Elephas maximus indicus: one gene and its partners. The protein of the gene in region 1 interacts with the protein of each later gene in a pairwise test. Links are inferred from orthologs where the notes say so. Each region holds a gene or a part of one and is shown in the gene's direction. Other genes may lie near its edges.

Region 1 (7,810 bases):
CGACAGAAATGGAGTAGGACACTGAGGACAGGAAGTCAGGGGACTTGGTGTCCCTAATGTGGGGCTAAGTATCAAAGGCGACCCTCAAAGCCTGAGAGGTGTACGAAGCTTTGGCTCCCAACTTGAGAAAAGGAAATTCTAGATTAGTATTTCCAGGTCAATGGGATAAGTGGGAGTAGAATTTCAAACGACCAGGTTTAGACTGTCCTTGGCTGTCTGGTTCCTCCCACAGAGAAAAGCTCAGAAATGTGCCTGAGATGGTCTTGAGCCTACTTCTAGGGGAGAAGGTTAGATGTAAGGCTAATTGTATACAGGCCTCCAAAAAAAAAAAAAAAAAATTGCGGTGGAGCAAATTTTGACTGAGGGCGACCCCATGTGTTGCGGAGTAGAACTGTGCTTCATAGGGTTTTCAATGGCTGACTTTTTGGAAGTAGGTCTTCAAGGCTTTTTTCCTAGCGGCCTCTAGGCCAATGCAAACCACCAACCTTTCATTTTGTAGCCCAGCCTGTTAACCGTTTGTACTACAGACCTTCACAGACCTCCAAGGTAAGTAAATTTCAGGGCAATATCCAGTTTTCACCTCGAGGTGGCAGTACCATAACTCCCAGAAAGCAAAGCAAGATACTCTACCTGTCGACTAAAATGAACCGCAAACCCCAAAGAGAGACTTTTTGATGATTAATTTATGCATTATGAAATAACTGATGTAGCCAGTTTGTAATCAGCAAGTTTCGCAACAGTTATAACAGGTTTTCACATCAGGGCGTGACTTTGACTTCACAGCTTGCTTCTTCCCTCGTTTTCAGAATTTAACGTTGGCGGCCATACGCATTCAAAACACTACTGCCTCTTCTGTGTTTTCTCTGTGGGGAATGATCTCTGGCAATGCTCTCTCAAGCTTCAGAGTCTGCGTCTGCAGAACAATAACAAAAAGTAATGAAAAGATAATGTAGCACTGTTTTTTTTTTTTGGTCACCCACAATTGCTCCATTTCAACACAAATATTTTTATTTTTAAATATTCCCTTCCAAATCTGGTCCATATGCATATAATTTTACATAGGAATACTCAGAGACGGTTTTATCAATGCTGCATTTTAAAAGGAAGTACATAACTTTTTTTTCTGCTCTCTTAGGCATCTAGTCTCTTCTGAGATCTTACTTCCTTAGCTTCAAATACCATCACTGCACAGAAGAGCAGCCACAGGTTTATCTCTAGTCAACCTTCATTCTTCAGCCATCTATCCATGTGTTCATTCATCCATCTACTTAGTCACTCTGTGAATCCTATTTTGTACCAGGCACTGTGCTGGTTGCTGGGAATACAAACATGAAAAGGTGTTTGTCCTGGAGCTTGCAGACCATTAGGGGGCAGGAAAGCAAGCAAATAGTAATAATGCAGTGAAATGAGATGTATGATGGGAATTCTGGAGAAGGAGCCCTAAGGCTGACTTGGAGAACTAAAGAAGGGGAGAAGGCCAACCAGGCAGAGGAAACAGCATGTGCAAAGATAAGGACACTCAGAAGATCTGACACTCTCCGGAAACCACAAAGGGTTTAGTATTGGTGGAGCCTGTGTTGGGGGAAGGGGGGAAGGTTGGGTTGGTTGAGGAAAGGTGGGTGGGGCTGGGGAACAGGGGCCAGATATCAAAAAAACAAGGGCCTCAGAAAGGACTTGAGATACTATCTTGTAGTTGATAAATATCTCAGTTCCAATTGATTTTCCACTCTGCAGCCAGCATGACAAAGAATTTTGAAGTATCTGACCATGGCCCATCTCTGCTTGAATATCCTAGAGAACCAAGTTTCAAGTCTTCAGCAATGCTGAAAAGGCCCCACATGAGCTCTCTGACCTCCAGACATATGCCACGTTCTTCTTCCCTTTGCCTTCTTCTTCGCAGCTAGAACTGGCATCCTTGAGTTCTCTCTTACTGTCCGGCCCTTGCACATGCTGTACCCTCCATCTGGAATACTCGTTCCCTCTTAGACTGGCTAACCAGGGTCTCAGAGCCTCTGCGTGGTGCTAACAGTTAATGCTCTTGGCAGCTAACCAAAAGGTTGGAGATTCAAGTCCACCCAGAGACACCTCAGAAGAAAGGCCTCGTAATCTACGTGATAAAAGTCAGTCACTGAAAACCTATAGAGCAGGTTGAGGATTGCGGTCTCGGGGAACATCTAGATCAATTGGCACAGCATAGTTCATAAAGAAAATGTTCTACATCTCACTTTGGTGAGTAGTGTCTGGGGTCTTAAAAGCCTGTAAATGGCCATCTACATATATTGGTCCCATTCCATCTGGAGCAAAGGAGAATGAAGAAAACCAAAGACACAAGGAAAATATTAGTCCAAAGGACTAATGGGCCACATGGACCACTGCCTCCACCAGCCTGAGACCAGAAGAACTGAATGATGCCCAGCTACCACCACTGATTGCTCTGGCAGGGATCACAATAGAGGGTTCCAGACAGAGCAGGAGAAAAATGTGGAACAAATTCAAATTCACAAACGAGATCAGACTTATTGGTCTGACAGAGATTGGAGGAATCCCCAAGACTATGGCCCCTGGACACCCTTTTAACTCAGAACTGAAGCCACTCCCGAAGTTCACTTCTCAGCCAAAGATTAAAAAAAAAAACAAACCCAGTGCCGTCAGGCCTATAAAACAAACAGTAACACACGTGAGGAGTATGCGTCTTAGATCAATCAAGTATAGGAGACCAATTGGTCAAAACCTGACCCAAAGCAAAGACAAGAAGTCAGGGACAGAAAACTGGAAGAATGGAAAAGGGGAACCCCAAGAGGAAAATGGGGCAGGGCCGACACACTGCAGGAATTACAATCAATGTCACAAAACAATTTGTGTTTGAATGAGAAACTAATTTGTTCTGTAAACTTCCTCCTAAACTGCATTAAAAAATAAAAATAAAAAAAGAACCTATAGAGCACAGTTCTACTCTGACACACAGGGGGTCATCGTGAGTTGGAATGGACTCTATGGAAATTGGTTAACTGGTTATGGTTTAGTCCTTCCCTTCCATGTCTATTTTTCTGGCCGCCATTCTAGAACAGAGTGTAATAGTGGGGGGGGGGGGAACATGTGTTTTTGAAACAAGATGGGTTCAAATCTTGGGTCTGCTATATGTGGTTTCTTTGGGTAAGTTACTAACCTCACTATGCCCCAGTTTCTAAATTTGTAAAATGGGGATATTAACCACTCTATACATGAACTGGGAAACCCTGGTGGCGTAGTGGTTGAGAGTTCCACTGCTAACCAAATGGTTGGCAGTTCAAATCCACCAGGCGCTCGTTGAAAACCGTTTGGGGCAGTTGTACTCTGTCCTATAGGGTTGCTATGAGTGGGAGTCAATTCGACAGCAATGGGTTTATACATGAGCTGTGACTTTAGTACATATCAGGTGCTAAATAGATGGTCCTCTTGTTATTACCATCTCACGTCAGATATCTACTTACAAACCATCAGAGGTTGCACATCACTTAAACCTAAGCTAAGCTTCTTGGCCACTATCTCCTTATTCCTTCCCCAAATCCTGGGCTATGGCCAGTCTGAAATATTGGCTGATCCATCATTTTTCCTCTCTGCTTTCAAATTCCAGCTGAAACACCACGTCCTCCCTGACTACTTCAGCACGAGAACTGTAATGGCTCCCTCCTCAGCAGTCCTATAGGTCGTTCAGTGGTACTTGGTGCCAGCGACTTCGACTTGCAGACTAGGCAACTCTTCTCTAAATCGTAAACTGCTGAAAGCGGAGGTTCTGTCTGGTTCATCTTTTAGCCTGCAGAGTGCATTGCCAGCAATTGCTGATCAATAAATATCTGGTGAAAGAACAATTCCTCTTCCTTATTTCAATAGGCTTATTTTCTCTATAGAATCAGATGTTTGGTTATTCTCATCACCATGCCATTTTGCCGGTTTCCAGAGAGCACATTCACGTTAGATGTGTTCTGTTGCCTCCTTTAATTGGAATACGCGTTTGGAACTGAAAAGAGGAGTTTTTTCTCCAAGTCTCAGCTTCTGCCACTCCAGGGTACTCACCCGCCTCGTGCAACCATCGAACTACTTAGCATAGCACAGCACAGGACATTCTCTCCCGCCTCTGTTACCGTTGCCTGGGATGCCCTTACCCTGGCGAACTCCTACTCGTCCTCCAAGACTCAGCTCAAACGTCACATCACCTTTTCTGTGAAGGTTTTCTACCGTGGGCTGAATGGTGACCCCTCCTTCCATCCTTTTCCCGTTTTCCGCAATCCCCAAATAATTACAGCAGTGCTTATAGCATTATTTGCTTACTTTTGTTCAACTTCTCTAGGCTGTGGATTCCTCGAGGGCCGGATTTTTGTTCGTCATTGTATCTTATATACTTAGCACATAGTAGGCACACGATTCCATCAAAGTGAACCAGAGCGTTAATTCACCCAACACTGCAGTTTGTATGGACCGGACTCTCAAACATTTCAAGACCTGGTTCTCTATTTGGAGAAGCTTCATACTGCAGGGAGCGTTTTTGTTTTTGTTTTGTTTTGTTTCATTACCTTGGGTTGCTGAAAGGGAAACGGAAAGTGATTACGGTCTGGCAAGAAGTACACCTTCAGGTCTGAGGCGTAATTTACTCGCTCTGGCACCGAGCGGGTTACAGCGGCCCGGGGGCGGAGCCAGCCCGGTGCCACGGGCTGCGGGGCGGTCTGACGCGTGCGCCCTGGCACGCCGCTCGGCTCCATTCGCGGAGGCCCGGCCGCGGAGGTGCGCTTGCGCTTTGGGCCTCTTCCGCCGGGGGGAGTCTCGCGGGGGCGGTACGCGGCAGTTCTCGCGGGACCCCGACGAGGAGCGGAAGCGAGGCGGCTCTGCTGCTTCTGCGACCCGGCGGCTGTGGGGGTGACGGCGGCGGGAACAGGAGCTGCCCTCGGGGAGTAGCAGCGGGATCGGCGGCCGCTCGCACCGCTCGGAGGGGCCGGTCGGGCCGGAGCGGAGTCGCTGCGCCACGGTGAGTTCGGGCGGCGTCGCTCGGCGCTGCTCCGATGCTTCTTCCTCCCCGCTCGGCAGCGGGAGGCGGCACCCGGCCGGGCCCGGGAGTCCGGGCGGGCGACGAAGGGCGGAATCCCCGAGGTTCCGACTCCATGCTTCCCTTTTTGGGGTGGTTCCTTTCTGGGCACCGTCCTCCCACGGCTTTTGGCTCTGGGCAGAGTCGCGACCCGGGGGAAGGGGCCGGGGGCTCTCTGGGTGCCTCTCGGTTAAATCTAGTGCCTTCATGGTGAGGGTGTGCGCAGATGGGGCCCGGGAGGAGCCGGAGAGGCCCTGGGTGCTAATTCTGTGAGTCAGCCTGACTTCGCCCTGGAGGTGGGGGATCCGGATCAGGCTGCAAGCGCGGGGATGCTCCTGCGACCTGAACGGCCACCACGTCACCATCTCTCGGTGTCTTTGGCCCGAATTTTGCAAGGGAATCCACTAACCCTGTTAGTACCGGGAGCTAGAACGTTTGCTGCCGGAGCCAGTAGAAAATCAAGCCCAACCCGTTGCCGTCGAGTGATTCCGACTCATAGCGACCCTATAGCGAGAGTATAACTGCCCCACAGTGTTTCCAAGGAGCGCCTGGTGGATTCGAACTGCCAACCTTTTGGTTAGCAGCGGAACTATTAACCACTACGCCACCAGGGTTTCCGGAGCCAGTAAGGATGCCCTTTATTTCTATCTCTAACTTTTCGAGCGTCTCTTTAAAAAATATGTCAGGAAAAATAAGCAGCAGTTGGCTGGCACGCTCCGAGGAAAGATTTCGGCCAGAGGGAAGTCCTGGTATTTGTCGTTGGGAACGCTCTGCGTGTATATATAGCTGTAAACTATCTGACTTACGGCTTGTTTAGAAACTTATCCAAGGCTGATTTCAAGTGTTATAAAAATGCAATTTGCAGAGGAGCTGAAGTGCACTGGAGGTCTAACTTTGGGTGCTGTTGACTCGGAAAAGAGTCAAAGAGACGAGAGAAATTAGCGTTAATCTATTTTGGCTTTCTTGTCTGTCGTTGTGCTTTTTCAGTTATTGCCTTCCGTTTATTGCTGCTTCTCTCACTTGCCCTACAGACGCTAAATGCTTACTTGTGTAATGCAAGTCATTTGCCTCCCCCCCCTTTTTTTCTTCCCTAACCTACTTCCCCTTCCTCTTTCCTCTCCCCTCTCGGTACAGTTTTTCTTTCAAAAGAGGTTTCTGCCGTTGGGCGCAGTTCGTTTTCTCCCTCATTTAAAGATCCCGTTTTCTTGCACGGGAAAACACCCGCTTTCCTGCTTTCATTCCTTTACTTTTAAGCTTCCACTGTGTTCCTTCAGTCAGCCAGCAGGGTTGCTAGAGAGCCGTGTGACACTGGAGTTCTCCCCCTGGGAACTGGTAGGCTCAAAGAATTGAATTCATCAGTAAGCAATCGATACTGCCGCTAGGTCCAGGTGTGGTTTGCTTCTGTTACGTGTGTTTTCGCTTTTCCTTCACTTTATGGTCGTGTTTTTGTGCCCGCTTTTGCTTCTCTTCCTGTGTGTCTTTTATACTTGTGAGGAAGATGGGGTCCATTTGGGGCTTAGATGACTTCTTTATAATTTTTAGTGGGGGTGGTTAATGCTAAAAGATGAAAATCGGTTATAAACCTGTGTTAGAATAAAGATGAGAAAAATGTATGGGAATAAAATTTATTCAGACCATTGATAAATCAGTTAAAGCCAAGCCAGTGTGATTGTTGTCAGTTGCCATCAAGTCAGTTCCGACTCACAGCGACTGAACACTGCCGGTCCTGCGCCATCCTCACAATCTCTTTGCTGTGCTTGAGCCCATTGTTGCAGCCACCGTGTCATATAAAAACCAGAAAACCAAACCCCTTGCTGTCGAGTCGATTCCGACCCATAGCGACCCTATAGGGCAGAGTAGAACCGCACCGTAGGGCTTTTAAGGAGTGGCTGGTGGATTCAAACTGCCGACCTTTTAGTTAGCAGCTGTAGCTCTTAACCACTGGGCCACCAGGGTACTTCTTTTTTCTTTATCAGACTCCTTTCTCTATCTGTTGTAATTAGTCGTTTTTTTTTTTTTTGCCAAAAAGAAATACCTTGATTTGTTCTGTTGCCCCTTCCGGTGTTTATAATTTATGAATCCCAAGATTAAAAAAAGACATTAATTCTTGTAATCAGCCTTCTTTGATGCCAAAATCAAGCGTTTAAATAAATGTTCGAGACAGTTTACTTCCTCAGCAAGTGTATTCAGATTTGGGAGGCGTACTTTTTAAAATTTTTGAATGGTATTAGTTTTTTTTTTAATTTGAATGCTATATTAGTTAATGATAACTTTTCAGTGTTTCTTATTATCATGTTGGCTGTGCAGCAAGTGTGTTCTAATTGTTGCGTAAATGAGAAGAGTCACGTATTTTGGAGAAATGGGGTTAATACAGAATTGAAAACCACCATACTCTCCTGAGAGAAATGAAGTTCCCTGACTCCAGAAGTATCCTGCAGCACTACTGAATGACCATTGAGATGCTTTTCTTTTTTCTTAAATTTGTCGAGGCTGCCTTTTTCCCAGTTGTGCCAGTTGAATACATATTATTTTCACTTTATGCAAAAACATTGTAGTATACTATCAGGAATGCAAATTTTAACATTTGGTTAAGGCACCCTTTTGTAGTACAGCAGCGATTCTTAAAATTTGGTATGCGTAAGAATCACCTGGGGAGCTTATTTAAAATCAAGTTTTGGGCCTAAGGCCACTATGTTGTAGAACTCCAGGGGGCACCCCACGGTAAATCAGTCTCTGAATGGGGTGATTTGGTGC
Region 2 (6,861 bases), about 9.1 Mb from region 1:
ATCTTGAGGGCAGGCCATAAGAGGTATGCTGCCTCTAGAGCATTTATAAACAATATTAAAAACGAGTAAAATTTTGTCCACTTTTTATTATCATCATATGCAAACAATTCTAAATGTCAGTGGTAAAATATTCTTCCCAGCTGGGGCTCACCACACCCAGTGCCTCCCTTAGTAGATCACTGGACCCCAAGAACCGTCCCTCTAGACCAGGGCTTGGCAAACCATAGCCCATGGGTCAAATTCCTCCCACAGTCTGTGTTTGTAGGGCTACAGTGCAAAGAACAGTTTTTATATTTTTAACGGGGGGTAAAAAAAACAGAACAAAGAATAATAAGCAACAGAGAACGTAGCTCTCAACGCCTAAAATAGTTACTATCTGGTCCTTTAAATAAAAATGTGTTGCTCCTTGCTCTAGGCTCCAGGAGCTGTCGAAAGCAAATGCCCCCAGAACAAAAGAAGCCGGAAGGCCAGGATCACCTCCCTGCTCTGCTGGTCTCTGGTAGTTTTGCACTGTAGTTAACCACGTACATTTCATTTAATTGTCCACATATTTTAGTTCTCAATAGGAGGGCTGGCCTGAATTATCTGGTCCGCCATCCCTTCTTTTCTATTCAAGTAAAAATGAAGTGGGCCTAAAAGTAGAAGGAGATAGAAGATTCCAAGGCTTTAACATTTTGTTAAATTTTTAACTCCTGTTACCTCCTCCTGGAGTCCCTGGGGGTGGTACAAACAGCTGCTAACTGAAAGGGTGGAGATTTGAGTCCACCCAGAAGGGCCTCCAAAGAAAGTCCTGCTGATCTGCTTCTGAAAGATCAGCTGCTGAAAACCCCATGGAGCACAGTTCTACTCGGACACACATGGGGTTGCTACGAGTCAGAATCGACTGGGCAGCCATTGGTATCTTCCCCTACTATATTTTAGGTGGCTTAGAGCACTACCTCATGAACGACTTTGTAGGCCATGGTTGGGACTTTGGGTTTTATTCCAAGTATGATGGGGAGGATATGAGTCGGAATCCACTGGACAGCAGTGGGTTTGGTTTTTTTTGGTCATGACCCACGTAGTGCTTCCCTCGGTTTGAAGCAGAGAAGTCACATGACCTGATTTACATGACCTGATTCACTGGGTTGCCAGATGGAGGCAGACTGGAGGCAGGGATCAGAGGAAGCTATCCCAAAGCTCCACCACACTTCAGTCCATTTGTCTTGCTGTGGTGGCTTGGGTGTTGCTATGATGCTGGAAGCTAAGCCACCAGTCTTTTAAAGACCAGCAGTGTCACCTGTGGTAGTCGGGTTTCAGAGAGCTTCTAGACTAAGACAGGCTAGGAAGAAAGGCTTGATAATCTATTTCTGAAAATCAGCAATGGATCACAACAGAATATCGTCAGATAAAGTGCTGGAAGATGAGTACCCTAGGTTGGAAAAAAAATACACAGTGACTTCAACAATGGACTCACGCACATCAACCATCCTGAAGATGGACAGGTCTGCAAGGTTTACACAGGGTCACCATGAGTCAGAATTTACTCAAGGACTGCAACTCACAACATGCTAGCTTAGGCATCTTGGACAGGGATGGACCAGGAATCACGTTGGAGTTGGTGAAGAGGTCAGGCAGTCACATAAACTGAACACTTCTCGGGGTGAAGACATTAAGAGGCAAAGAGAGATTGCCAAACAGGTTTGGGAGGCACAGTCCTTGCCCTCAGCTTTAGTGTTTTAATTACAAGAAACCCAGACCACACACCTAAAGGTGCCATATAAATACAAAGCAACCACTGAATCAGTGCATATTAGATGGCTAAATAAGCACAAAAGGGGAACTGGAAAAGAGGCCAGATGGAAGATTGTGGGACCTTCTTCGGCCATGAGAGGCACTCGGTTTTCTACAAGCGACAGAGGGTCTAGGCAAGGGCGCTGCACCCAGCGTGGCTGCCTGAGCTGCAACATCTAAGAACCTAGCTTCAGGCCCCGGTTTCTCCACTCCTTCGGAGCAGTGGAGCCAGTGACTCAGGGGAGGTCCCTCCCAGCACGCGGTGTTCTGGGCTGTGAGTGACTCACTGCCTCGCTCCCTCCCTCATGGGTGACCCCGGGCCAATCCCTTAATGAGTCTACAACTCACCCTTCTCTTCTGGTCCGGACAATTGCCTGGTGGAGGTTTTAGCTCCCCGGGGGCAGGGCTCCTTCTGCAACCCTCTAGGTTCCTCGAGAGAAGCTTTCCTAGGGTCTGGAGGCGCAAAACACCCTTGGGCAGACCCAGGATCCCAGGCCCTACCCGTGCAAGGAGGTGGAGGGTTTATCGCCCCTGCCGGCACATTCTTTTAATTTCAAAGCCATCCAACAGCATTTCATCTCGACTACAGTTTCGCAAGCATTGATGTCTTGGAGGATGTTTTTTTCTTTTTGGATAACTCCTTGTAAAAACTTGCTTGTTAAAAAAAAAAAAAAGGCAACCAGAGTTGTCCCCAAAGTCTACATACAAAGCAGAGAACAGAGGCACTGGGAAGAGACCGAGCGGGGGCTGAGGAACTGGCCTTCGGTTCTTGGGGGATCTGGGCGGCTGGATGCACCGGCTCCGCGGGGCAGGAGGAAAGCGCGAGAGCTTGTGGGGCTAGAGCTCCGTTCGCGGGACCATCCGACAGCGGGCGGGAGGAGCAGGGAGAGACCTTGGCTCCCCTGCAGAGCCCGCCGGCCTGATGCTCGGGGGCGCGAGGGCATTGAGGGATGAGGGGTCACTCGCCTGGGTCACGGGTCCCCCGCCCAGCGTGTCGGCGCCCCCTACCTCTTGGAGCACCCCGTCGCACCAGGCGAGTCCGCGTGTCCCACCAGGGGCAGGAGGCGGCGCCCGCGGTCCTCCCCACACTCGGCCACCAGGGTTCCCGGCCCCAACGCGGCCAGGCAGGTGAACCCAGGCGGGCGCATCCTCCTTCTCGCCGGGGACCCTACCCCAGCCTGGAGCGCCACCACGGCCCCCTCGCAGCCTGCGCCGCCGCGCTACCAGCCCCGGGAAGTCACTGTGCGCAGCCCTGACTCCAGAAGGGTGGATCCGGCTGAGCCCAAAGCCACATTCCTAGGGGAGGGGTCCCCCCAGGGTCGCGGATCACGTTACTGGCCAAGGGCCGCAGTCAGCGGGAGAGAGAACTAACGGCGGTGGGGAGTTGTATTTAGCGTTATTACTTTTTTTTTTTTTTTAACGCGCTTGGAAGCTGGTTGACTCGGGGACACGGCGTCCGCGCAGGTCCCGGAGTCTGGCGGCCCCCGAGCGATTTGCCAGGACAGAGGCACCTTTCTGCCTGCGAATGCGGGCGGCCACGAGCCGGCTGGGCTGCAGGGGCTAGCGGGTTCCCGATGTGTCCCTCCCCCCCGGGAGCCCTGGAGCCTCGAGTGCCCGGGAGCGGAGACGCTTCGCCGCAGGAGCGCGCGCCGGGCACCAAGTACAAGGAGCACTAACAGACACACAAATGCGCATAAATAAATCAATGAGCAGCTCTCGGCTGCCAGTGGCAGGGAAACCTCGGGCTGATTAAATGCAGACTTGGGGCGTTTGCCAAGGCAGGAGGGCGGCGCGGCAAAAGGCACCATCGTGGAGGCGAGGGGTGGGGGGAAGGGAGGCCAGGGACAGAAAAAAAAGAAAAAGGAAAATCCAAAGCCACCTTTTAGCAAAGGGGGCAAGTTTTAAATGCAAACCTCCCGGACGGGGGGGAGGGGCCGGGCTGCTGGCGGAGGGTCCAGCCCGACACCGGGGGCAACTTTCCGGCGCGGGAGGTGCGGCCGGAGGGGGCGGCGCCGGCGGCGGGAGGCGGGAGTCGGGGGCTGGGGTGGGGAGTCACTTTAAAGGCTCTTTCTTACCCATAATGCTTTGTGGGGACGTTGACAAGTGGATCCAAGATGGCGTAGAAAGTAATGACAGGTAAGTCCTGACTTCCCCCTTCTCTGCTGCCGGGACCGCTCCGCCAGCTGCCGGGGCCCTCCAGGGGGAGCCTGACCCTCCTCCTACCCCCCCAGGCCCCTAGAGGGGCGTCCCGGGGGCGGGCTGGGGGCTGGGGCGGCCCGCGGCGGGGCCTGGGGAGTGGGGCTCTTCGAGGCGAGGCCCGGACGCAGGGGCTGTTTACAGCTCCTTCCCCTCCTCTGTCCCCTTTCCCTCCGCGGGGGGCCGTGGCGTCCTCGGCCCGGCCCCGAGAGGGGGCCTTGCAAACCCGGCCCGGGAGCCTGCGGGAGGTTTTCCCAGCCCGGGGCACTCCGGGAGGGGGAGTCGAGCCTTCTTGCACGCTCTCCTCCTCCGGGTCCCGGCTGGGGGTGGGGAGCGTGCGGGCCTCCCAAGCCCCGCTCGATTCCCCCTTCAGGGCTTGGAGTTCCAGGGGCGTGGGGTGGGGCGTGGCGGGGGCTGGGGCGGGGTGGGTGTCCGGAAAAGTGGGTCAGGGGCGCGCCCCTTCCCTCCCCCGCTGAGGGTTGTTTGCCCGAGATTGACTTTCTTACCCCTTTCCCCCGCCCCTTCCTCGGAAATTCTCATTGGCCCACAAGCGCATCCACGAAAATAAAAAGACTATTCCTTTCTGAAAATTTCTTTTAAGAGTCGCCTTTTCAAGGCCTGAGAGACTGCAGTCCTGTCTAGGGAATTTTGATTCCTCTCCCCCCAAATCATTTGCTCCTTCTGCACCGTCCCTGTGGCTGAGTATGCTTAAGGCAGGCCTGGAAGCCAGGATCTTCTGATTCTTCTTGGATTGGGAGCCTCAGGTTTCGTTTGGAACTCAAAAATTGTCCTTCCTTCCCCTTCATAACTTACACTTTTCAAGCAAATCATTAATGTAATAAAAAGTACAACTCTTCCTGGATCGGGGACGGGAGGAGGGGTAATTGTCCTGGCCAATTTGTTCCTAACGTTGCCCTCTCTTGAGCTCATATTCACGAGGTTTCTCCTGTATTTTTTTAAAGTAAGGTCCATCAGTGCCGAGATGACTTTTCTGGTAATGTTTCTGATTTTAACAACATTTTATGATCTATCTCACTGAAAGGAAAATGTTTTTTTATTTTTAAGTAGAAGAAACAACCTCGTTTGCAAAGCTGCATACTGTATCATTTTGGTAACTTTTCCATTTGAAATTTAGATGCCCTTTCACTTCAGGCTGATAATATGGTACGGATAATGTCTTTAACTGGTGGTGTATAGACAAATTTTACTTTTTTATTTGCCTCAGGAATTGGATGAAGTAATTGATCACTAATGAACTACAGTGCTGGTGAGATGTGTAAGGTGAGGCTGCAGTTAAAACATTATCTATTTTCCGTCTTTATGTTAATCATCTCAAAAGGGTAAAGCTGAAACTTTAAATTCAATTTGATGGACCATCTTTATTTTCCAAAAATATCACTTAGTCAAGTGGGTGTATAGAGAGGGCCAGGTTTAGAAGGGAAAAATGTGTCCAGTGTGTACCAAACTTTTCAGGGGCTCCAACAAATTCAAACCTAGTGGAACTTATCCAGAGCCAACTGTTGTGTGCAGCTATCCTTGATCAGTATCTTCAACAGGGGTAATTATAGCTTGCCTATTTAAATTTCCTTGTGTAACTGTAATGGGGTGTCTTAAGTTTATCTGTGTTTTGGTTTCCATAGCTTACTTCAAATTGAGTATTAGTAATTGTGGTTGTGGGTTTTGTGCATCCATAGCTTGTGGGACTCTTGTAAAGTACACTCTATTGGAAAGAATTAGTTTATGCAAATCAGTCACTCCTACTTTTATTTATTGAAAAGTGGAATAGTACCTGTCTCTCTTACACTTTATTTTGACATAAAAACAATAGTGTGGAGTTCTGTTTAGCTTCTTAGGGAGAAGGCTGATTTGCCATTATTTTCTGGCCACACTTTGCGTTTGAATATTTGGAGAAACTGAAGGTGATGCTTTTATTTAAAATAACTTGTAATGCTTTGGATTAAAGGACATTATTAATCTAGTGCTAGTGAACAGCGTTCTGTGCTGGGTGGGAAAAGAGAGAGAGAGGGAGAAGTTTGCTAATTTTATATTTTTCCAAACAGCCTTTTCTTTACTTCAAAAAATATTTTTATTATGGCTTATTTAGAAAAATGTAAGTAATCATGGTAGACTGATAACTGCAGGTCTTTTTTTTTCCTCTTTAACACATCTGGGCGGCCCCTGGATTTTGAAATCACGTCACAAACTTTTCCTATCTATTAAAACACCTGTTTAGGAAGAATAAACTGTGTTTATTATTATTTTTTAGATTTAGGCATATAATTGACATTTTGTCTTAAAAAAAGCTTGGGAGAGGAAGATGAACATAAACCAAGATACTTTTTAAAGTGCACACGCCACATTTGCTCATGTTGGACACTCAGCATTGCCTGTGTGTATTATATATAATTTTTATTTGTATTTTTGACAGGGAAAACATCGATTTTTTTTTATCTGTATTTTTTTTTTTCCATTTTGCAGATAGAGGCATATTCATGCCTTATGCCACCCAATTTCAACCTTTTATTTTAGTTTTAGAAACTTACAGATCACTTTGTGATAAGCAGCCAATGATCTGCTGTTTGGTTGTGGAGGTGTTCATTTGCAGCCTAAAACCTAACATTTCTAAGTCGCTAATCTTGTGCGTTTGGCCTGAAACGTGCCAATGCATTTTCCATAATTTTCACACAAGTAAACCATGTGAAGTGTTAGTATCCACTTTAAAGTGAAGTTAGTAGTTGGCCACCAAACAACTTGGTACACAAAGTATTCTGTAATAGGAAATAGCATAGTACTGAAGGTTGTGGTGAAGTTGATGTCTGAGTCTTTGAGCTGAATAAAGACATAGCTTTTTTAGTCTGTCCTTTTGGCTGGGAAGCTAGGACACTATTTTTA
Region 3 (6,922 bases), on another chromosome or scaffold:
TTCTTGGCTACATTCAATTACAAACCAGATTAATTCTCTTAATCATTATAATTGTCATTATAGGATTAATCAAATGTTTTATGAAATATTTTTCAAATGCAGATACTCACAATGTGATACTACTTACTGTGCAAAAGACCACGTATTTTGAAGAAAACAGCATTTCCTTAAAAAATAACTTAGCTCTTCACCTTGGCCTGTGTTCCCCCGCCAAGGTTTCCCATGAATTCAACCATGCTCTTTTTTTTTTCTTATACACCCCTTCTTAAAAGATCACAGAAGCAGAGATCCAAGCTATGGTACGGTGGGTGCCTGGCTATCTGCATGATAGTGACCAGGGTCTTGAAGGCTTATGAAGGTAAGTGGCCACCAATAAACAGATGATGCCCAACTATATGTCTGGGGTCTTAAAAGCTTATCTAGAATAGGGAGCCACCTAATAAACACACCATCTATAACCAACGAAAAAGGCCCTTGTAGAAGATGAGTTTCTCCTTTATGGGCTACGTGAGACCAGCTTACCCTGAAGATGAAGCTCCATACATAGTAAGGCAAAGAGTTGGTAAATCCATGCAGAAGAAGGCACTTTTCTAATAATGACCAGCAAATTTCTATAGACATTCTTAATCAAAAAGCTGGTAGGAGGAGAGGGGGGAAGAGAAGCTGTGAAAGAACTTTTTAAAAAATCTAGGTGCATGGCATGAGGAGAGGCTTCTGCCAAAATTGCAGGTTGGACTCCATTTTTGCTCTCTACTGCTTATTCTGAGACATTCAAAAGTCAGCTAGCCAGCATACCCCAGGAAGTCTGCAGCCTCCACTTCTCCCCCTACCTCTCACAGTGTGCTCCCAAGAAGAATAGTCACTCAGGCTGGTCCCCAAAATATCCACAGATTAACAAGATGTTAACTGACTCAGACTTTATGATTAACAAAACAATGTGTATGGGATCTTGAAATTGTCTAGCGTCTGTTAAAACATGATTTTGTAAATGTCAAACAGTCAGAACTTTTTCCTTGTAAGTTCCTGGATTTTCTGTACTTAAATTCTGTGAAAAATTCTTTCACTGGAGTACTTTCGTGAATCCTCATGGAGTGCTGCCTGATTGGGTTGCTTTGTTCCTTCAATAAAAGTCTTTGCTTTAATTTTAACAGAAACTCCAGTTTGCTCTTTGACAAAAGTTTCATCATCCTTGCTTCTAAGGAGAATTCTGGTTGTATTTCTTCTAAGACTGATTTATTTATTCTACTGGCAATCCATGGTATATGCAATATTCTTTGCCAATACCACAATATGAATGCTTCAGCTCTTCTTCTGTCTTCCTTTTTCATTGTTCAGCTTTTGCATGCATATGAGGCGATTGAGAAGACCATGATTGCTTGGGTCAGGTACACCTTAATCATCAAAATGACATCTTTGCTTTTTTAAAACTTTAAAAGAAGTCACATGCAGCAGCTTTGCCCAATGTAATACGTAGTTTGATTTTTTGGCTGCTGCTTCCATGGCATTGATTGTTGACCCAAGTAGAATGAAATCATCAACAACTTCAACTTATTCTCCAACCAAATAATAAAATAAATGAAATAGTGACAAGGGCTATGAATCAATAAAACAGTGCATGTGATGTGCAGGAGAGTGGAGATGCCAGAGACAAGTATATCAAGTAGCTGAGGAAAGTCCTTCTGAAGAGCTGACTTCTGGGATATGAGCTGAGTGCCGAGACTCGACCATTGGGGATTTTTCCAGGCAAAGGGAACAATAGCTGCAAAGGGCCAGAGGCAGAAACTGGACGAGCCTTGGGTGCGTCCCACTGCTTCTGACCACTGAAAGAGTTGCAGGAAAGATGACAAACTTGGGTCTAACACTGAGGTCTGGTCCTTACTTGGAGAACCAGTACCAGTAGCTGTTGAGTTGATTCAGACTCATGGTGACCCCATCTGTGTCGAAGTAGAACTCTCCTCCATAGGTATTTCAATGGATGATTTTTTGGAAGCAGATTGCCAGGTTTTTCTTCGGAGGCATCTCTGTGGTTGAACATGAACCTCCAACCTTTTGGTTAGTAGCAAAGTGTGTTAACCATTTGCACCACCCAGAGAACAGAAGCTGATACCCAACTTTCAGTTCTGAAAAGGTTCATTTCAAGCTTTTGTTTTCACTCACGGGCAGGTTGTTCCCCTTTCAAAGTCTGAGTAAAGGAATCTGAAACACAGCAAAACCACCAAGTTGTACCCTCTAGGTAGAAAACCCCCAAATGTGGCATTTCCATGGAAAATCATAATGAATCATTCTCACTGGTCACCCTGTCTAGGCCTGGCTGGGCAGAGAATAACTTCTGTTTTCCTAAACTTTGTCTTCTTCAGACTTTTTAACAAACCTCTCAATGTTCAGACTCAGGTTAAGAACAAAACCCCAAATTCCGTGAGATTTGCTGGGTTTCAGGTTTCACCAGAAAGGGGTTGCTGCAGCCACTAACCTTTTGTTCTGCAGAGAGCGATTTCTGAAGGACTGCAAAGAAAAATAATCACCCGGTGATTAGGGGGGAAAAGGAGTTCTAAGGGGAGAGACCGCTGGCCCAGGCTTTGTAGGAAGGTGGGGACATGCACAGTGCCAAAACCAAAAACCAAACCTGTGGATGTGGAATCAATTCCAACTCACAGTGACCCTACAGGACAGAGTAGAAATGCCCATAGGGTTTCCAGTCTTTACGAAGCAGACTGCCACATCTTTCTTTCTTGAACGAGCTGGTGGGTTCCATCTGCGCATCTTTTTTGGTTAAGCAGCTCGGGGCTTAACTGCCCTACCCGGGCATACCCCCCAAATTAAAATTCTCCTTTCCCTAATCGTTCTCAACTACAACGGCAACAATGGTTATCATTTATTTGCATGTTTGTAATGCGTCAGTCATTGTCTAAATACTTGGTCACCCCATCTCAGGTTGAGGACACTGAGGCTCAGAGACGTTAAGAAACTTGTCCAAGGCAAACAAAAACAAAACCCACTGTCACCGAGTCGATTCCGACTCAAAGCGAGCCTGTAGGACAGAGTAGAACTGCCCGGTAAAACTTCCAAGGAGCAGCTGGTGTATTCGAACTGCCGACCTTTTGGTTAGCAGCCATAGCTCGCGGTAGCTCTGAACCACTGCGCCACCAGTAACACAGCTAGAAAAAGGCAAAGGCCAGATTCCAATCCAGGTTGTGGAGTCTTGTGTCCATACTATTAACCACTATCCTATCCTGACCTGGAAAGGCCCTGTCCCCCTTCGCATTGGGCAAAAATGAGGAAATTAGGAGAGAGGAAGCGGCGAAAGGAGGCTGATAGATGTAGTCATTTTTTAATTGAAAGTCGGGGTAAAGGAGAGGGGATTGCAAGTCCAGCCTCTGAGTGAAGGGAGAGGGGTCGAGACATTTTCCGGGGTCCCGGGCCTTACAACGGCCCTTCCCAAGGCCAAGGCTGTATCTGGATAAACCCCACCCCGCCCACCTCTGCGCGAGGAGATGGCGGGCCCGCGGCCCGTGGGGCCGAGGACGGTGGGCGTCCCACCCCGCCCAGTGCGCCCCCGGTGCCCGCCGCGCCCCGCCTCCGTGCCGGCGGCCCAAGGGTTAAGGCAGGCGGGCGCCCCCCGCCGCGGCGCGCCGCCGGCCGGGAATGCTTAGTCAGGATTCCGATTTCCTGTCGAAGTGTTTGGATTTCCTGGAGCCCGCGCCCTCCGCGCCGCGCGGGATCGTCCGAGCCGCCGCGCGTCCTGCGGCCTCCCGCCCCTCCGCACATGGTCGCCCGCCTCTTCTGCGCCGCGCTCGGTCCCGCGCCTGGCCGCCGCCGCCGCCGCCGCGGGCGGGCACTCTGCGCTCGGGAAGCCCCCGGCCCCGCGCCTCCCGCCCCGCGGGTTTCCACAGCTGCCTTCCTCTTTCAGCTCCGGGAGCCGCGAACGCCCGGCGGAGGGGTGCCGGGGCGCGGGCGCCCGCCATGGAATAATGCCCAGCGGCCCGACGGTCCCGGTGAGTGGCGGGCGCCCGGGCGGGCTCAGCGGGACCAGGCGGGGGTCGTCCTGCGCCCCCTCCCCGGCCCCCAGCACGGAGCGGTTCCGGGACCCTGAGCCTGGCGAGCCTGGGTTCCATTTCCAGCAGGGCACTCCCTCGGCGGGAAGGGGGCACTCTGGGATCTGGGGGGGCGCGGGCGCCAGATGGGCTCCGCAGAGCCGGGCGAGGCCGAGCAGAGCCTCTGCGTCCCCTTCCCGCAGGGGGCCCAGGCGGCGCGCCTGGCGGCCCCCGCTCACAAAAGCACCGAGGTGGGGCGGGTGAGGCCACTCGGGCCATTCTGCGCCCCCCTCCCGATGTGGTGACGGGACTGCGCGCCCCGGGCCAAGGCGCGGAGGCGCGGGCGCTGGCCGCTGCATTGTCTCCCTGGCGCGGTGGAGGAAAGTTCCCCGCGGTTCCTGGGAGGGCCGGCCCGGCCACCGCCTGCAGCCCCCGGCCCCCGACTCCAGCCCGGGCACTACGCTGCCAGGCAGGCCCCAGGCCACTTGCTTAAAGCAAATGAGACGAAATGAAATGGGAAAAACCCCACTTGGGGCTTGGCGTTTGCTCAGGGAAGACAAGGGAAGTGGCTTGTGTTTTACCCTTTGTACCGTTTTGGGGACCTGCTGCGTTTTCTGAGAGACATGAAGTTTAAAAGAAAAAAGCAACTCGCTGGTGCCCGGCCTTCTGCGGTTTCGTACCTCCTGAGAGTTAATCTCGGGCACTCCTTAAGCGGTTTCCTTTAATAATTTCTTTTTCCACTAGCTCAGGGAGACGGACAGCCAACTCCAGACCATGGATAAGTTGATCTCAGTTTTACCTATACTAATCAGAAGGAATAAGAACTTTCTCCACCATGTATCCTTATAACTGGTCTGATTGTCTTAGCATAATTGATGCCAGTCAGTGGGATGGCAGCCAGGGACGGATTGCTGAGTAATGTTTTGGAACTGTAAAATTTAACTCAGTTTTCAGGCCTGTTTTATTTCTTTTGCAACCTGCATCCCAAGACCTTTCCGTTTCGCAATTGGAGGCCCACGGTATAGCATCCAGAAGATCCAGGCCTTCTGGGAACATCCAGCCTCAACAGTTTAGAGAGAAAAAAGGATTTTAGAGGAAATCTGGCCCAGCCTCTTCTTGCACAGAGGAGGGGCCCTGTGACTTGCCTAAGGATGCACAGCCAGCTGGTGGCAGGACCAGGAATAGTCTTCAAGTCTGGAGACTCCCAGGGTTGTATTCTTTCCAGTAGGGCAGATTATGGTCTGTCAGCCCCAGACTGGGCTTTCGAAATCTGTCTTATTTGCATCATAACCTTTATGGCTTTAGTGCCTTCTCTTGTTTCGTCTTACCTGTTCTTGCTGCTATTTTCCAAATATGCAGTTATCTCAGACTGCGTATTTTGAGATAGGTTGTTAAAAATTCTCTAAACCTTCCTGTTCTGAGATTCAGCACTAAATGGATTTGAAATGTACAATGCGTGGCTTATTATATGGAGATTATGGGAACTCCCGAGTCCAAAAAAAGGCAGTATCTTTGCACATAGTGTACAATATGATGTTCTCTAGACTTGATTTTCAGCCCTCCTGTTTCTTGCGAGCTAAGCAGTCCGTCTATTCTCCCCATGAGAGCTCTGAGTGGCTGGTTTTTCATTTTCAGTATGTGATAATGTTGGAGAGAAAGGACTTTTTTGAGAACTTGGCATTTGGTGAAGGAAACTGAAATTCCCTGCACTTCCCCAGTCCTCATCACCCACAGTAAGTCAGAGTTTCACAATCAGTCCGAGATTTTGGCCCCAAAAATGGATGTGTGTGTTCAAATCAGACCCTCCCTCATGAGGACCCCTTGCAGCAGGCACCCCTGCACTGTGTCCGGGTGGCTGAGGTCTGGAGGACAGAAGGAAGTACGTGTTACCTAGGATGACGTTGTTGCTAATTTTTCCCGCCCGATTCTCAGCTGTATTTGACTGAATCCTGCTGCCTTGTCCTCATTATTCCCTCTTGTGTTTCCTCGACTCACTTCTTGCACAGCCACTGTATCTGGCGTGGGCTGGGGAAGAAGTCCTTTCTAGGGTTTGCACAAATGATCACCGCCTAAGCAGTGACATCATTAGGGGGTTGTGGCGGGTGCAGACCACACCAGGTGACACTGTCAGAGGGGGTGACACCCAAATGACTTTCTGTGAAATTTTTGTGCAGTGTTTCAGCATGAATTTATTATTTTTAATAAAAGTATCCCTGTAGTTAGTTAGAACAACAAAAACATTTTTCATAAGCCCAGCTTATGTGTATCAATATACCCACAAGGCTAAAACTTTCTGAATCTCCTAATGCGCTCTGGTTGGATCTGTCATTATTACCCAATTACAATGACACTTTGAATCACGTGTTTTCATCTGCACGCATTCGAAGCACGCACTCTTGCTGCTGGTGTTTTTTTAGCTGCTGATTTTGTCAAATTTTCTGGTGTTTTAGTTACAATATTGTGATAATTAGTATGGGATGGGGGGACACCATGAGTTACCGCACTGCACTGGGTGATACCAACCCTAGTGATGATGATGGGTACATTTATTCAGCGCTTGCCATATGCCCCAGACCTGTTACTTCCTAAGAAGTCCCAAGGAAGAGAGAGAACCCATTTGGGAGTTCCATTTGTGCCCAGAAGAGCCTGCACTTCTCAGAATCACCTGGAATTCAGAGTTCTTTCTTCCACAAACATTTGCTAAGTGCAACCCCTCCCATGGGAGGTACCAGTCATGCAAAGATGAATTTGTTGTGGACCGTTGAGTCAGTTCCGACTCACAGTGCCCCCATGTGACAGAATAGAACTGCCTCATAGGGTTTCCTAGGTTGTAATCCTCATGGGAACAGATCACCAGGTCTTTTCTCCCACACGTAGGAACTGCTGATGTT
Region 4 (7,366 bases), on another chromosome or scaffold:
AGGATAAGGAAGGCAAGTATATTTGTGTAGTTTTTTCTTCAAATGTTAATAGGGTGGTTTATTCACTGGCACAGAACTTTTAAGCCATCCCACTAAATGGCAGAGAAGAATGTTTTCAAGTCCCCTTGGGCAGTACCTTAGCCATTTAGCGCTGCTGTAACAGAAATACCACAAGTCAAAGCCTTTAACAAACAGAAGTTTATTCTCTCACAGTCTAGTAGGCTAGAAGTCTGAATTCAGGGTGTCAGCTTCATGGGAAGGCTTTCTCTCACTATCGGCTCTGGAGGAAGGTCCTTATCATCAATCTTCCCCCAGCCGAGGAGCTTCTCAGGCACAGAGACCCTGGGTCCAAAGGACGTGCTCTTGTTCCAGTGCTGCTTTCTTGGTGGCATGAGGTCCACCTGTCTCTCTGCTTGCTTCTCTCTTTCATATCTCAAAAGAGATTGTCTTAAGACACAATCCAATCTTGTAGATCTTGTCAACCTAAGTGCCGATAATCCATCTCTTTAACATCATAGTAATAGGATTCACAGCACATAGGAAAATCTCATCAGATGACAAAATGGTAGACAATCACAATACTGGGAATCATGGCCTAGCCAAGTTGACAGATATTTTAGGGCGGACACAATTCAAGAAATTCCACCATTTGGCCCCCCAAAATTCATTTCCTTGCCGCACGTAAAACACATTTACTCCATTATATCACGGCGAGTCTTAACTCAACTGCAAATCCAAAATCCAAAAATTCCTTTTCGTCTGTGAAATCTAAAATACAAGTTATCTGCTTCCAAAGTACAATGGTGAAACAGGCACAAGCTAGACATTTCTATTACCAACGAGAAAACTGGAGGGAAAGAAGGGGTAACAGGCACCAAGCAAGTCAGTAGAACACATTACATTAGCTCTCAAGTCTTGAAAATAATTTTCTGTTCTCTGAGACCATTTACACAATGGCCCTGCCCTCCAGACTGTAGGTATTAGCCACACTCTCTGGATTCTGAGTGGAGGCCCCTCCGTCCTGGGCTTCAGCTCTGCCTTCCAGGATCACTGGGACGGCAACTCTGTTTCCTCAGCTTTAGGAACACTATTCTCCTAGTCCATCTGAATGACAGCTCCAGCCTTAGAAACACGAGAGGCCATGGTTTTGCCTTCTGAAACCCCAGAGGTTGTGGCCATACCCTTTAAGACTGAGGCAGCTCAACTTTCTGTGTTTCTTGTCTCCTTAGCTTTTGCTTCCTGGTTCCTTGGCCTCTCAGCCCCTCAGGTTTCACAACCACATCTGCCCTGCTGGGGCAAGTGTTCCAAACCTCTGTAGTTCCACTGGTAAGTGCCTGGAGGCACCACACTCCGCCAGCAAACTTCAGCCAGAAGGCACTCAGCTCTCTTGCTCTGTGGGTGGCGCAAGCCTAGCTCTACTCTGCCAGGAAGCCTCCTGTGCAAAGGCACGCAGCTCTCGCGCTCTGTGGGTCAGCTCCAGTGCCATCTTGCATTGTTCTCCTGATTCTGCCGCTGCTGCTTCTCTGCCACTTCTTGCAGCCTACGCCACCTCCAGTGTAACAGATATTCTCACGTCCTTCTGAGTCCTCTATCTACTCGGTTTCAAAAGTCCTTCCACATTTTAGGTATCTGTTAGAGGAGTACCCCACTCCTCGTACCAAATTCTGTCTTGGTTATCTAGTGCTGCTGTAACAGAAATACCACAAGTGGATGGTTTTAACAAACAGAAGTTTATTCTCTCACAGTCTAGTAGGCTAGAAGTCCAAATTCAGGGTGTCAGCTCCATAGGGAAGCTTTCTCTCTCTGTCGGCTCTGGAGGAAGGCCCTTGTCATCAATCTTCCCCTAGTGAGGAGCTTCTCAGGTGCAGGGACCCCAGATCCAAAGGATGTGCTCTGCTCCTGGTGCAGCTTTCTTGGTAGTATGAGGTCCACCTGTCTGTCTGCTTGCTTCTTTTATATCTCAAGAGAGATTGCCTTAAGACACAACCCAATCTTGCAGATCCCACCAACCTAACTACTGCTAATCCATCTCACTAACATCATAGTGATAGGATTTATAACACATAGGAAAATCTCATCAGATGACAAAATGGTAGAAAATCACAATACTGGGAATCATGGCCTAGCCAAGTTGGCAGATATATTTGGGGGACACAATTCAATCCATGACAGACGGGGAAGCAGGATGCTTGCTCTGCCTTATCCTGCACTGAATACCAAGTATGTGGTTGTCATGGATTGAATTATGTCCCCCCAAAAATGTGTGTATCAACTTGGTTAGGCAATTGTATTGTATTGTATGGTTGTCCTCCATTTTGTGATTGTAATTTTATGTTGAGAGGATTAGTGTGGGATTGTAACAGCACTCTTACTCAGATCACCTCCCTGATCCAAGGTATAGGGAGTTTCCCTGGGGTATGGCCTGCACCACCTTTTATCTCTCAAGAGATAAAAGGGAAGCAAGCAGAGAGTTGGGAACCTCATACCACCATGAAAGCAGCATCAGGAACAGAGTGCATGCCTTGGACACGGGGTTCCTGCACCTGAGAAGCTCCTCAACCAGGGGAAGTTTGAGGACAAGGACCTTCCTCCAGAGCCAACAAGAGAGAAAGCCTTACCCTGGAGCTGACGCCCTGAATTTGGACTTGTAACCTACTAGACTGTGAGAAAATAAATTTCTCTTTGTTAAAGCCATCCACCTGTGGTATTTCTGTTATGGCAGCACTAGATATCTAAGACAGTGGCGAAGCCAGGAAAGAGTCAACATGTAACTTTTTCACCTCAGCAACCACTCACCTCTGATAGTGTAATGTTTATTCTATTTAAAGGGGGGGGAATGATTTATCATGGAAAGCAAACTGTGGGTTTAAGCCTTATCACAGTCATCTACAAGTTTGTATAATCTTGCCAAATTAGTTAATGTCTTGGTACACATATCTGTAAAACGCAAATTATTACACCCTTCCAGTTTTGGAAGAGAGTTGAGTGTGGCAAGTACATGAAAACACCCTAGTAGACTCTCAATTTTTACTTGGATACACAATTAACAGCCATGGAAGCAGCAGTCAAGAAATCAAATAAGTATTGCATTGGGCAAATCTGCTACAAAAGACCTCTTTAATGTGTCAAAAAGCTAAGATGTCATTTTGAGGACTAAGGTGCTCCTGAGCCAAGCCATGCTATTTTCAATTGCCTCATATGCATGCGAAAGCTGTACAGTGAATAAGGGAAATCGATGCCTTTGAATTACAGTGCTGGTGAAGAATATTGAATATGCCATGCCATAGACTGCCAGAAGAAGGAACAAATCTGTCTTGGAAGAAGTACAGGCAGAATGCTCCTTAGAAGTGAGGATGGTGTACTTTGGACATGCTATCAGGAGGGATCTGGAGAAAGACATCACGCTTGGTAGAGAGTCTGGGACAAAAAGGAATACCCTCAAGGAGATGGATTGACATAGTGGCTGCAATGATGGGCTGAAATGTAGCAACACTGTGAGGATGGTTCAGGACTGCGCAGCGTTTCATTCTGTTGTACATAGGGTCGCTGTGAGTCGGAATCCACTATAGGAAGCCTAACAACATACTGTCAATAACGTAGTTTGCCCCTTCCCTCGGTGTGTCTATGAAGGTCGCCAGCTGTTTATACAACCATGTACTAAATAGAACCATCACCTTCCCTTTTGAGTACTGATCATCCCTCAGCTTTTTGCTGCTCAGTTGTTCAGTCTTTTTCATTCTTCCTAGCAGCCAGTGTCCAGAATGGGGGGAGTCACTTCTGCCTCCGTTTGCTGAGTTGCAGGGTTTGGAGTGGGCTTGAGCGGTGGTTGGAATGCCGAGTAGTTGTCAACTCCTGCCTTTTCCACCCTCCTCTGTGGAACTCTCCTGGTCTACATACTTAAAGTTTAGGCTACTCAGCATGACGTGAGCACCAAATCGGTCTCTTTCCAACCCTTATTAGAGATTTTAGTGCCATGGTGGGAAGTGGGGGGAGGGTACCGACTCCACGACTAAGAGAAAGAGGCATGAGCTCACACTGCAACTTTGGGTCTCCAGGAAGGGCCCTGAGCAAGGACGGAGTCTGAGCGCCCGGCGAGGCTGCAGGGCGCGCAAGCGGTCGGACGGGGGAGCGAGAGCTAAAGCTTGCAGAGCGCGCCAAGCCCGCGCGCCCGCCGCCCGGGCCTGGCAGATGACGCCGCGCCGAGCCCGCCCGCCGGCCGGGCTGCAGGGCCGGAGCCCGGCGAGGCCCGGGCGGAGCGGAGGGCGGAGCGGGCGGCGCCGGGGAGGCGGGGGAGGAGGCGGTGTCTCCCTGAGCTGCGCAGGCGTTGCTCGCACCTTGTTGATTAGTCAGTGCTGGGAGCGCTGCTATGGCGTTTCTCAGACCCGCAGCTCCTCCTCAAACGCTCGAGGCAGAGGGAAGGAGGGATAAGAGGAGGAGGCGAGCGGGCAGCCGCCGCAGCTGCAGACCCAGGGCCAGAGGGGGAGGCAGAGCGGGAGCCACCGCAGCCTCTCCGACCGCCGCCGTCCGCTTCAGCCGGGCTGCTTCGAGTCCTCCCCGGGTTTGAGTGCACTGGGGCGTCTAGCCATGCCCCGCAGCAGCAGCTGAGCCGGAGCGGGCCCCATCCCTCCAGGTCCGCTCAGCCGCGGCGCCCCCGGGCTGCCCGCGGCCGGAGCTTCCCGGCGTCTCACGCGCGCCCCAGACCGCGAGCGCAAACAGCGGCGGCCGCCGAGGCGCGGTGGTGCCGGCGGCTGCGGAGGGAGCGTGGGGCAGGAGGAGGCGGGGAAGATGGACCCGGCGCTTTCGCTGGGTTGCAGCCTTAAGGATGTGAAGTGGAGCTCGGTGGCCGTTCCGCTCGACTTTCTGGTCAGCACTTACCGGCTGCCCCAGATCGCGCGGCTGGACAGCGGTAAGTCCCGGCTGCCCCGACGCGCAGGGGAGACGGGCGGGGACCGCAATCTGGGCGCGGGTGTGTGCGCGTGTGCCCGAGAGGGTGGGACCGGGTGGGGGAGTGGGCTGCCAGCTCCCTGGAGTTGGCCCGAGCGGCCACCGCAGCCCTGGCGCGTTGCTCTCAACTCCCCCCAGCAGCCAGAGATGCGGAAATCAGAGCCCTCGCAGTATAATTGAAAAGGACGCTTAAAAATCAACATAGGGGAAACCTATGCAGATAGTAATCTTGGAGGCGAGCTGTCCATCCCCACCCGCCTGCAAGAATTACACAACCCGGGAAACCCTAAAGAGTTATCTTAGGCAACTTTCTTACGAAAATAATTGTGCTCTGGGTGGTATCTTTATTTTGGGTGCAGCCGCAGATTTAAGAGGAAAAGCTCCTGGGTGACCAATGAAAGGGATCATATTTCTCAGAGACCTTTTATTACAGCTTGTCTTTTTTGTTTAACCGAACTGAAAGTAATTTAAGGCTGTGTGTAGAAAATGTTTGGAGCAGAAGTGATGGTATGCTTCAGGTTAATTATTAGCTTAGCGCATTTCCAGCCTGGAAAAAAAAAATTAAGTCACCAAAAAATTCATTGGAACCTGAGCTCAGAACTAAGACGCTCTTGTATTTCCTGAAATTGACCACCAGAAACCAACCAAACATCCCCTGTTTGTTCTGCAGTGTGACATCTGCAAACAAGTAGATAGATGTGTATACCGTCAAACAAGTAGACACCTTTCAGTTTGAGAGTTATGAAATGTAAGGTGGCAATTTAGGCATGTTTTGCCTTCTCCTGTGTTTTCAGAATAACTTCAGTTGATTTTGGCTTCATTGGATTCCAGGCTGTTGGCAGAAAGAAGCCTCCTCTCCAGTGGGGCAGCTGGAAACACCTGGGCCCAGGCAGGCAGGCAGGATGATAGAGCTGTGGCCACGCAGGCCAAGTCAGAAGTGCACTACTGTTTCAATCACAGGGACTTGGGTTCCTCTTTGTTTTCTGGAGTAAGAGTGTGTAACGTGAGATGTAATAGATGCCCAAAGGAATTGCTAGTCTCGTTCAGTTGGTGGTGGTTGTGGTGGGCACTGGGAATGAACTAAGATTTCTAAAACCTGTGATGAACTGGGGATGACAGTAGCCATTGAATGGATGAGGATTGGGGAGACAGGTGTTCTGTTGAGGCATTTCTGCTTAGAATGGGGGTGGAAAAGTGTTTCCTACCTTAAATATGTATATGGAAACCTGACCCTGGTGTGCGTGTGTGTGTGTGTGTGTGTGTGTAAAATCACAGTATTTCATTTCCTCCTCCGCTGTGCAAAACTGTGTATATTGGAAGGTTGTGAGTCCTTGCCTTGTCCAGCCTTCTCTCAACGTTGCATACTCTGCCAACCCATTAGCTAGGCAGAGAGCACTGGTGCAAGTGGTGTGAAAGCCACCCAAAAGCTTCATTAAACTGGAAGTTTAAGAAGGCTGAATAGCAGTTCCAGATAAAACTTTAGTTTTATTGTGCACATTCCTGTCCCTGCCATTCATAAAAAGGATCTGACTCAGCAGAGTACTTATCCCACAGCTCTTTTTAAAATTAGGATATGGGCAGGAGGTCTTAACACTGCGTCCTTTCACATCATGTACTGGATTTTGAGCTGTGTGTAAGTCTGATTCTTTATTGTAAATTTCTCTTATTTTTCTTATGACCACTTGAGAAGCACAGTGCCACACAAGGATTTAGAATCATAGCCAAGGACTACTTTCTATCTTGCTCCTTTCACTTGACAATCCCATGCTGTTTTAGTATCTTTTGCTAATATGATTTTTAGTAGAAATCAGTTTCCATCAAGTCGGTTCTGACTTGAGTCAGAGTAGAGCTGTTCTTTTTTTCAGGAGTAGACTGATGGGCCTTTCTTCTGAGGTGCCTCTGGGTGGATTCGAGCCTCCATTTAGGTTAACAGCGCTTTTCCATTCGTACCACTTAGAGACTTCATGATTTTTAACAGCTGCATAATATGCCACAGAACAGCAATACTGTATAATCTAGCCCCCTTTTGTAGACGTCATGGCACAAATGGCTAGGTGCTCGGCTACTAACTGAAAGGTTGGTGCTTTGAACCCACCCTGAGGCACCTCAGAAGACAGGCCTGGTAATCTGCTTCAGAAAAAAAAAAAAAAGCCATTGAAAACCTATGGAGCACAGCTCTACTCTGAAACACACAAGGTAGCCATGAATCAGAACTGACTTGATGGCAACTAGCTTGTTTTTTTGTATTGTACACATTAGTTTGCTTCAGCTTTTTGCAATTATAAGTAATGATACGATGAACATGCTTGTATATAAAGCTATTTATTTTGATTAAGATATATTCCTAACTTGCTGAGTAGAACATGTGAATCCTTTTCATATCCTTGATACACACTATCAAATTGCTTTAATAAAAGGTCAA

What was found.
Region 2: the proteins of GRB2 (region 1) and HELZ interact in a two-hybrid assay, tested with the Homo sapiens proteins (2 studies listed by BioGRID and IntAct). The link is inferred for Elephas maximus indicus from reciprocal best matches to the Homo sapiens genes GRB2 and HELZ.
Region 3: the proteins of GRB2 (region 1) and ASAP1 interact in binary tests that used the Homo sapiens proteins (3 or more experiments, as listed by UniProt). The link is inferred for Elephas maximus indicus from reciprocal best matches to the Homo sapiens genes GRB2 and ASAP1.
Region 4: the proteins of GRB2 (region 1) and GAREM1 interact in binary tests that used the Homo sapiens proteins (3 or more experiments, as listed by UniProt). The link is inferred for Elephas maximus indicus from reciprocal best matches to the Homo sapiens genes GRB2 and GAREM1.

What each region holds. Positions count from the first base shown.
Region 1 is NC_064837.1:65,722,159-65,729,968, reverse strand, and holds the start of GRB2 (growth factor receptor-bound protein 2), read left to right. Parts: upstream 1-4,810; 5' UTR 4,811-4,999; intron 5,000-7,810. UniProt on the Homo sapiens protein: Non-enzymatic adapter protein that plays a pivotal role in precisely regulated signaling cascades from cell surface receptors to cellular responses, including signaling transduction and gene expression.
Region 2 is NC_064837.1:56,636,779-56,643,639, forward strand, and holds the start of HELZ (probable helicase with zinc finger domain), read left to right. Parts: upstream 1-3,845; 5' UTR 3,846-3,909; intron 3,910-4,393; exon of another isoform or gene 4,394-5,250; intron 5,251-6,861. UniProt on the Homo sapiens protein: May act as a helicase that plays a role in RNA metabolism in multiple tissues and organs within the developing embryo.
Region 3 is NC_064833.1:12,929,869-12,936,790, forward strand, and holds the start of ASAP1 (arf-GAP with SH3 domain, ANK repeat and PH domain-containing protein 1), read left to right. Parts: upstream 1-3,906; 5' UTR 3,907-3,992; intron 3,993-6,922. UniProt on the Homo sapiens protein: Possesses phosphatidylinositol 4,5-bisphosphate-dependent GTPase-activating protein activity for ARF1 (ADP ribosylation factor 1) and ARF5 and a lesser activity towards ARF6.
Region 4 is NC_064829.1:39,925,093-39,932,458, reverse strand, and holds the start of GAREM1 (GRB2-associated and regulator of MAPK protein 1), read left to right. Parts: upstream 1-4,350; 5' UTR 4,351-4,785; coding exon 4,786-4,906; intron 4,907-7,366.